Linked DNA regions of Xenopus tropicalis. The protein of the gene in region 2 purifies or fractionates together with the protein of the main gene of each other region. This does not show direct contact. Links are inferred from orthologs where the notes say so. Each region holds a gene or a part of one and is shown on either strand. Other genes may lie near its edges.

The links.
Region 1: the proteins of strn (region 2) and cttnbp2 purify together in Homo sapiens (affinity purification with mass spectrometry; 3 studies listed by BioGRID and IntAct, with this or other methods). This does not show direct contact. The link is inferred for Xenopus tropicalis from reciprocal best matches to the Homo sapiens genes STRN and CTTNBP2.
Region 3: the proteins of strn (region 2) and cttnbp2nl purify together in Homo sapiens (affinity purification with mass spectrometry; 5 studies listed by BioGRID and IntAct, with this or other methods). This does not show direct contact. The link is inferred for Xenopus tropicalis from reciprocal best matches to the Homo sapiens genes STRN and CTTNBP2NL.

What each region holds. Positions count from the first base shown.
Region 1 is NC_030679.2:68,649,500-68,653,259, forward strand, and holds the start of cttnbp2 (cortactin-binding protein 2), read right to left. Parts: upstream 2,454-3,760; 5' UTR 2,374-2,453; coding exon 2,302-2,373; intron 1-2,301. UniProt on the Homo sapiens protein: Regulates the dendritic spine distribution of CTTN/cortactin in hippocampal neurons, and thus controls dendritic spinogenesis and dendritic spine maintenance.
Region 2 is NC_030681.2:49,995,984-49,999,743, reverse strand, and holds the start of strn (striatin), read right to left. Parts: upstream 2,516-3,760; 5' UTR 2,427-2,515; coding exon 2,157-2,426; intron 1-2,156. UniProt on the Homo sapiens protein: Calmodulin-binding scaffolding protein which is the center of the striatin-interacting phosphatase and kinase (STRIPAK) complexes.
Region 3 is NC_030678.2:60,505,360-60,507,767, reverse strand, and holds part of cttnbp2nl (CTTNBP2 N-terminal-like protein), read right to left. Parts: intron 527-2,408; coding exon 1-526. UniProt on the Homo sapiens protein: Regulates lamellipodial actin dynamics in a CTTN-dependent manner. Associates with core striatin-interacting phosphatase and kinase (STRIPAK) complex to form CTTNBP2NL-STRIPAK complexes.

The DNA.
Region 1 (3,760 bases), on a different chromosome or scaffold from region 2:
ACACTATATTTATTCTGCAGAAAGCTTTATCATACCTGAGTAAAGAGCCCTAGAAATCCTGTGGTTTTTTTTGATAGAGGACTCTGTGAGTGCTTATGGCTGTATTTACATAGACCTTTTTGATAAAGCTTACTTAGTTTTTAATTTTCCTTCTCCTTTAATACGTGTTTGTAATATAATATACTTAGTAGCAAGTAATGCTGGTATTATAAAAGTAGTTGGCATAAATAATAATTCTTAAACTGTTAAACTATTTTAAAGCACAAGAAATATAAGCTTTGCACATCTATTCAAAATGTCCACCCATAAACTTTTTTTTGCATAAAAGAAAAGTGAAATTCTAACCAACTAAACAATTTACATTAATATAAACAATTAAAACGATGGTTTTAAAGATATGTGTACATGTAATTCCAACTTAGAGTAGGTTCTTTCTCTCCTTTTCCTGGCTGGGCATACCATTGCAACATTGTATCATCAGTCAATTCTTCTCAAACCAGTACTCCAAGAGTAACAGAATTGAACAAGGAATAGTGGGAAATTGAGTTATGATTAGAGAGGACCTGCTTTCTGATATATTGTTTCTGTATTCAAATTAATTTAAAATTATAAATAATGTTTGATATATATAATGGAAATTTAAAAGGCACCCAGGACTATTTCCAGGAAGAAGGGTTGCAAAATGCTCACAACCCCCCTTGTAATTGCAGCTTCATAGACTTTCAGGGTAAACACCATTGCCCTACTGGTGTGATCACAAGTCAAGTAATTATTGCTCTAAAAAGGTTGACTGACAGACATTAATGGCCCCACCAACAATCACACCATCAGGGTAAGGGAAATACCCATGTACATCTTTGCAGCAGCAATAGTGAGCATTTTTCCACTGAGCTGGGAAATAGCATAGGCAGTATAACACATTATATTGCACCGTGTCCTAATGCAAGGATATATGGACAATTGTGCAGAGAGTAATCATTTGTAATGCAGTAATTTTGGTGGAATAACCAATCCATAGTTGAGGGGGAATCTAGTAATTTATCTTTCATATGGCAAATGGGCAAAAAATGGAAAAAAGCCACAAAATCTACAAACTGTGTGTCTTTTTCTTTGGCTCCCTTACCAGCTACTTAGGTGGCCAGTTTATTGTCACTAATAATGTGCAACTTGTTAAGCATCCAGCTACAACATTTACCTGCAGGGAACAAGCCTTTATTCCTAATCCCTTTTGAGAAAGAAGGATCCAAAAAAATCTTATTCCTAGTCTTTCTTGAGAATCCTGGGGTCTATGAAAGGGTAATATTTTAAGATTAATATTTTAGTTTCTCCCTGAGCTCTAGGTTAGGATAGTGTGTAAAGTAAGCAGCAGTAGACAGGCTGCTAGAGATATCCTACTCTCTTCCATATTTGGGGGTTATCAAAAGATGCTGCCCCCCCCCCCCCCAATAACACTCTGGGCTTACTATTATGGTGGGGCTCTGGTACAGGGAGTCTGCCCTGTGGAGGGGACTTAACTGCAGACTGAATCCCCATGTCCTACCATCTTTCTGGGATATCCCTTATGAAAACAGGGTAATAAATTACACACGTAACATTACTAATTGAAATAAAACCCACTGTCGTCATACAGCTAATACAATATTGATCATAACAAGCGAATCCCTGTGCTCAAGCTGCTTAGTCTTCTATTATTTATAGACGTCTATGATAGTCAGCATAGAGACACAGCTCCCCTGCACAGCTGATGTTACATACACTGAGAGCCAGCCTTCTCATAGAATTTTCAAATCTCCTATTCAACAGCAGTGCACACAATTAGAGGAGCGCAGTTAGACAAAACCTATGCGACAAAGCTAATCGCAAGCACTGGAAAGGAGGCGCAGATCCAAGCGGCTTCCCACCATTCCTAGGAAGTGCAATTGGGAGGCGGAACCATATAACCATCACTTGACACATTTTATTACATAAATCCCTAGGCACGCTCGCATTATACAGCACAAGAATCAGGCTTAACCAATACACGTCCCCATATATTATCCCTGCAAGAATCAGGCTTAACCAATACACGTCCCCATATATTATCCCTGCAATCAGCTGCGAACCCCATTTGTGCAGCCCTCGAATGCACCTCTCTGTTTCTTACTAAAGCCAGAAAATTGTACGCCAGAAGCAGGAATCAATATCGCTCTAATAAACCAGTGACAGCTCCTAAGACTCAGAGCTAAAAGCACATCGCTCCCCCTGATCCCACTGCCGGGGCAGCACTTGCATGGAGTAACTGCAGTACAATGAGGCGCTTACGTTATCCGTGTCCCCTTGGGCAGTGCAGAAAGGCTCAGCCTGCTCTTCCTCACTCCCCTCCACCGTCGCCATCTTCCAGCTGCTGAGGACTGAGTGAGAGGAGCCAGGGAAGAGGAGAGCAGCCGAGAGGACAGCCCCCACCAGTAAGCCCACACTTAACCCTCTGCCTGCCCGTCAGAAGCACACTTACTCCTCCTACTCCAGCCCGCCAAGAGTTAACTCTCAGTTCACCTGCACATTCCTGCTTTAGCGGACTGCCAGCACACGTGACCCTCAATAATACAATACTGCAGTTCCCAGTATCCATAGTAATCGCTTTAATTCATATTGTCACGACTAAATGCAGCAGAACACGGCTACTTAACTTTACTCCAGTTAGCGGGCAGGTAGTCTGGCAAATAAAACATAGTTTTAAATACAACCCACGTCATAAACTTTAATCCAAAGTCAGTGTGGGCAAGCTAGGGGCCGAACCGCTTTGAGGACCGTGTCAGCCCTTTGGTCCTCATATTGGACAGCCAGGCAATAAAACCCAACGTCAGCCTACTCGTTGTATGAAACTGATATAGAAACTAAAGTGCACATACACAAATCACTCCCACACCAGTGTCACTAAAAGAGATTTTATACTCACATACAACCCCGCAGAAAGCAGGTGCAAAGATTGCCCTAGTTCCAGTAACCCATAGCAACTACTGTAAGATACAAGAGCTGGAGAACATTGTGTGTCTGTTGTTACATAACCCCCTTTATGATTAATCAGTACATTGCCTGTACACCTGCCTTTATTTCAGTTCCCTGCCTGTCTGTCACAAATACAGCAACAGAAAAGGATAGCAGTATACAGGTGCCTCTTCTAGTCTGTCCCCTCCATACTCCTATGCACTGATTTATCTGCCTGGGTCCTGCAGGCATCATCTTGTAAGTGTTTGGTACATGGAATTACCTTATAGGCAATTAACTATTCTGAACAGGACTATGTTTTTGTTCCTATGTTTGTGCAACAAACGATTTCTGGTTCATACAATTTGTTTGATGGCATTAAACTCATTAGACATTATTTCCAGTCAATTAGATTTGATATCAACTTGCTTCTCTCTATCTGCATTATCTTCTTTGGGGCTCTGAAGCTCCTGTTTTTCTTGTGACTGCTGTCTGTAGAGGCCTAGTTCTGCACAACCATAACTAGAGAGCAAGATGAGTGTTCTGATACTGCTGATTGTTTTTACAATTATGCCAATATTGAAGTAAACCCAGTATAAAGGTGTCGATTCCCATCATTTAATTGTTTGGCCCTTGCCAAATGAGCGGATCTTATGACGTATGGCCACCCTAACTAATGAAAAAATCATAGTTTACTATGCAGTAACAATTTGTTTCTTGTTTATGGTGCCCTGAGAACAGCATCAATTTACAGTATTCTGAACCCAGAGACATATCATATAAAAATTAAGAATAT
Region 2 (3,760 bases):
CTAACTAAAAAAATCTGTGCGTGTATTGTATTGTATAAGGACGATATCCTTGAGGGACCTAAAATGGAAGTCATTTTTTGTACAATTGGTGGCCGCCAACTATTTACTGTTCTGAACATCCTCCGATTTGTATTTTAAAAAAATGTTGTTGTTTTTTGCCAGAACCAAAGTGCAAACCATAGAGTAATCAAAATGTATAAGCCATAACTACTTGGTTCACAAAACCGATATAATTGACAGGATCCTATAATTGACAGGATCATGTCAGTACTATTAGTAAATAAGGAAAGCTCTATTATTTTCATTTAATTCCCTTTAACACAGTCCCAGCCCAGTTGTAATTGCAGGTCTGATACTGACTTGAGAGCATAGAGTTGGTTGTGTCAGCAATGCTAGGGTTGGGGTGGTGAGATCCTTATGTAGGCTGGAGTACTGTTAACATTTGTACACGTAAAGACAGAGTGAACATAATGTATATGGATACCAGTGTAACAATGTATACATAAATGTAACATGCAGGAAAGTATTGGAATTCTTGTATTGTATGTCTGTTCTTCTCCTTTAAAAGTAAAATACTAGACCCCATCCAAGAGATATTTGTTAGTGGAAGTGAAAAATTATGTGTAGTGTCCATAAACTTTAACCCACATGCAGCAACAGCATGACTGATGATGGTTTTATTGTATACAAAGTCAATCTGAGGTGAAAGGGGTACATTATTTTTTTTAAAATTTTTTATAAATAAGATTTTGTGGATGTATGCATGCATGCAGTATGAGCCAATGGGCTGACGTGTCTACATATCTAGAAACTTCAGTAACCTCCATATGTAGGGCAAGAGCAAGTTCAAATTAGTTTGTGATCTGTTTCTGTGTAAACAGAAGCCAGCAGTGGGTCCATTCCATTTCCATTTGAAATATACCTAACGTAAGCTTACACATATGGCACACATGACATCACTGTGCACATCATACATGTGCTAAATACTGAATAGATGGTGTTTCAATAAAATGGAGGTCAACTTATGTGTGCCGACAGATAAAAGCATGTGTAAAATTACCCACATTGCTTAATGACAAAGAAGATTCCAAGCAACTTTCCAACACCTATTATTCACATTACAAAAATTATTTGCAAATGCAATTCCAGTCCAAAGCTACAGTTCTGATTCCTAGCCCTGAAACATTGTAGCAGATGCTAATTAGAAGATATGGGGGAGAACTGACTTCTGCGACATTGTTCCAAAAGTCAGAACCAGGGAACAGCAAGGGATAAACACAAACCGCTATTTTTTTTTTATTAATGAATATTAGGAAATGACTGTACTTTTGCTTTCACTGGGCAAAAAAACAGTTCATTGAGATCTTTCTTTACCCTTATGACTGTCAATATCTAACATCACAGAATGACAAATGAAGATATTGTAAATAAGTAATGATGATGTTCACAAGTCAGAACTGTAGAAGCTTACAAACACAGTTCAGGTGTTCCCATGATATAGAATGTCTGGGTGTGATCTCACACATACTGTACATGCCTGATACTGTACATGCCTGTGAGGGTCTCCTCCCACACATCATATTCCTCTCGTGTATAAATGGGAGCCCTGGTTTCCATGGCCAGTTGGGCTCACACACTCAGATATAAGGCTGCCTGCTCCTGGGCTCACAGCCTACACAGGCACACATAGCTCACACAGGCACATATGGCTCACACAGGCACATATGGCTCACACAGGCACATATAGCTCACACAGGCACATATAGCTCACACAGGCACATATAGCTCACACAGGCACATATAGCTCACACAGGCACACATAGCTCACACAGGCACATATAGCTCACACAGGCACATATAGCTCACACAGGCACATATAGCTCACACAGGCACACATAGCTCACACAGGCACACATAGCTCACACAGGCACACATAGCTCACACAGGCACACATAGCTCACACAGGCACATATAGCTCACACAGGCACACATAGCTCACACAGGCACACATAGCTCACACAGGCACATATAGCTCACACAGGCACACAGCTCACACATGCAGGCAAGCTCTCGCCAAACTCTTGTACGTTTCACATATGGGAATGTAGAGGTGAAAGTGACAGACGCCTGGGCTCAGTAGCAGCCCCCAGCCTTACCTGCATCTCGGCTCTTTCCACTTCCCACTGAGCTCTCTCCACCTCAAAGCGAGCCCACTCATGCTGAAGGAAGTGCAGGATGCCAGGGATACTGTACTGGGCCCTACCAGCCGTACCAGCGCTTCCTCCTCCGCCTCCCCCGGCCACTGAGGCCGCATCTGCTGCACCAGCCTCGAACCCTTTCCCGGCACCACCTGGGCCAGCACCAGCGGACAGCAGCGAATTGTTATTGTTATTGAAAAATACGCCGGGCCCCGCCTGCTCGTCCATGGCCGCCCTCCGTGGCAGGGGCCGCGGTTAACAGCGAGGGGCCGCCACCGATGGCTCCGGAGAGGGAAGAAGGGAAAGCGAGCGCGTCCACTCCGCAAGCAAGCGATAAGGTTTGATTATGGAACGGTCCTGTCACGTAACATACGTCCTGACCGCCGTCCAATCTCCCGCCCCTACATCCACCGCAACCCGGGCTCCGCTGCCGCCCACACTCGAAGGAAGCCAGGCTGTCGCTGCTGTCTGGGCGGGTCTCCTGCCACTCTGACAGCGGCTAGTGACGTCACGCAGCCCAAGCGTTCGGGACCGCCCTTCCAGTCGGGCTTCCTGTGAGAAGGGTTTTTTTTTTTTTTTCGGTCAGCTTTATTTCATAGTGACATATATGGCCGTGTTTTTTCAGTTCAAGCACCCAGAGATCATATCGTGAATGTGATAATGATCGGCCATGTTTTAGGCCATACCATTCAGTGTGAAGTGGAAAAAAATCTCAACCTAATGATAGTCAGGGTCCCCCTAGACTCATAACACGGGTATAGGAAAATGGCAGGTCAGCAGACATCAACTCCAAAGCTTTGCTACTGCCCAAGGAATAACTGAAAGAAGGGAGGAAGATAGTGTTGTGGTACTGCACTGGAAAGGACCAGTCCACAGGTAGTGTCAGACCAGTGTAAAAAGTAGGCAATTTTATTCACTGGGATGGGTAACACGTTGGCACCCCCATTCTCCTTTTATGAACTAGCAACATAAAAATATATCAAATTATTTGTTTAAATCAACACATCATGTACTATTTATATTTGTCTGAAGCAAAATATTCTAGCTTTTATTCCAGTGTTTGTGCTGTGTTTATACATCTTTACCTGTTGCCTAATGAAAGCCCCCTTACAACATATCTTGCTCAATGGAGTGTTAAGGTGGAGTGTTACATGGGCCCATCCCACACATTGTCCAGTTGATCAGACCATACACATACTATACATGAAATCGCCACCTTACTGTTGTTCTGGCTATCTGCTCCACTCATCTGCACATGTGCTGGGCACTAGCTCAAATGGTGCAACAGAAGATTACATTTTAACAACTGATGAACAAAGCAATATCTATAGTCAGCCATGTTTACTCCCCTTTATTTCTCAAAAGTCATCCTGATTTAACCCCCCCTCCCCCCGTCTGCAGTAAAGGTCGCCATACACTGTAAGATTCGATCTTTTGGCGAGGTAGCAAAGTGAGCAGATCTTTTCCCAATATGCCCACCTAAAAGTGGGCGATATTGGGCTAATTTGATCATTTGGCTTTCTCAGAGAAGTCATTAATATGTATTATGTGCATTTACATCA
Region 3 (2,408 bases), on a different chromosome or scaffold from region 2:
AACTTTTTTCATGTTGGAAGGGATCGGTTTGGCATGACACAGATACTACGTCAGCATTCTCTGTTGATACACAAATAGACACCAGCTCACTTGTTACCTTGCATGAAGGCACTGAAACTTGGTGGGTGGTGTTTAGCTCTTTCAATGTCTTTTTTAAGGACTCCAATTCTTCTTTCAAAGTTTTTGTGCGATTTTCTTCCCTATTTAACTTGGCTTTCAGTTGCTCTCTCTCAATATCAAACTCTGAAAGTTGCTTTTCCACCTGTGCTTCTATCTGCAAGCCTCGTTTCTTTTCAAGAGATAGCTCTTCTTCTAGCTGACTTACTCTGCTCCTAACCTTTTCCAGCTTTAGGTTAACATCATCTACTCTCTGTCCTTCTTCCACTGCCCTGTTGTTGGCTTTTGTACACTCTTTCATCAGCACAGATGACAGCTGCTTGTGGCGGGCTTTCTCTTCCTCCAGCTGACTGGAAAGTCGTTTCTGTTCTTTTTCTAATTTCTTAACTTGGGACTTCTCAAATTCCAGCTGAAAATATAGAGGCATAAAAATACATGTATAAATGTATGAATATAATATATGTGGGAATATAACAGTTTTCTAAAGAACAACTAAGGCTACATATGATTAGGCTAGGAATACTATACTTTTTCATTGTATTAGCATATATACGTACAGCATCAAACACTGCATTCATCCAATCTTTCTCTAGGTTGGATAATTCTGATTTCCACATTTACCTACTAAAATTACCATGATTAATTTTAGGGTTGGAATCAAAAAAAGCCTAACTGATTAAATCTCATTGAAGTTGTTGCCTATTTCTAATTTCACCTATTTAAATTTACAATAGTCAATAAAACACAGCTGAAGTCAGCTGAAGTAACTGACATGCTTTCGGCAGACCTGTCATTAATGGTTATTATTCAAGCTGTTCATGCGTACTTTAGTCATTATTTATACTGCTCCTTTGTCATTTCCATGTTTGCTTAAAAGGAAGCTATTTTACTGCTGAAGTGGGTTAAACAAAAGTAGTATTATGTTATATAATAATAGTTGAACTTGTAAGATCCATGGGCAGGGACCTCCTTAGTAGATTCTGGGACTTGAAGTCTCTCTGCTTCCTAGAGAATATGTGAACTGGCCACCATGTAAAGCAGAGGTCATGGACTTTTAAGTTCCAAAATCCATCACTTTAAGTTGAAACAAGGGAAGGGTGGAGTGGAATTGATACTCTGGGATGCTGTTTGCTGTTGTATTGATTATACAAAGCTCTATGCAAATTTACAAAACCTGTAGCAATGTGTGTGTATAGTTGACATGGATAATCAATATGAATCCCAACCCCTATGATGCTTAGGTTACATATGTACTTTAACATTTCTAAACTTTTAATATAAATCGGGGGGAATTCACAAAAATGGATATAGCCTTTTTTTGGAGCAAGAGTGATGGTAAAACTGGTGTAAAACACTTTCTCCATATTCACAAACAGAAATCCGCCTATATTATGACTCTTTTTAGTTTTAGGTGAAAGAAAGACAGTTTAAAGGCACTTTTGGGAATTTGTCTTTTAAACGACGTTTATATTACATTTTAACAACATTTTTTCCAACATTTTCACAATGGAGTAAAGCGCTGTGTAACTCAGATCACTTCTAAGCTCTTCTGTTTTGCTTTATTTCACCCAGTCTCCATTTCACACCTCTGGTAGAGGCATCATTGGGGAGGGGGGGTCACCAGCATATTAATGGTGGTTACCAGGCTATTGTCAGAGGACAAGTTTGTGTCTAACCCTAGAGCAATAGGTGCAACAAGCCCATTAACATTTTTATAAACAAGTAAAACACTGACTAAACAAAAAGTGCAATTTATACAATGTTACATATACAAAGTTTTTACCTCACATTTGCATTATTATCCTACTTTTAGCTCAATGAATCAAGTCAATAATAACATTATTGACTTGAATGAGTCAATAATAACATTTTGAGCGAATATATTGTACACATTTTTTATTTAAAGGAAAAGTAAAGCCGCCCTGACAAATCTTTAGTTTTAGCAGCAGTGTCCCCTCTTTAATCACTTCACTGACATATGCCACAACTTATCTGTGCCCCCATAGCAAAACTATAGAGATGATTGGCAGCATTGTCCCCCACGTTTAGCTGTGTACCTTCGGTTCACAGCTAAACTAATCTTGGTAATTAGCAAACAGCACGTGCACAATGGCACCCAAACTGGAATATTGGGGCACTGTGAATTCAAGGTTGGAATGGCCCAACAGGGCACTGGGAAAAAACCTAGTGCACCCTGATTCTGTTGGGCCCCTTTTTATCGGGTATGTTGGGGGGTGGACTATATTGCTGTCGACTAGTAATCAGTGAGGACTATAGAAGTAGTGCATGAA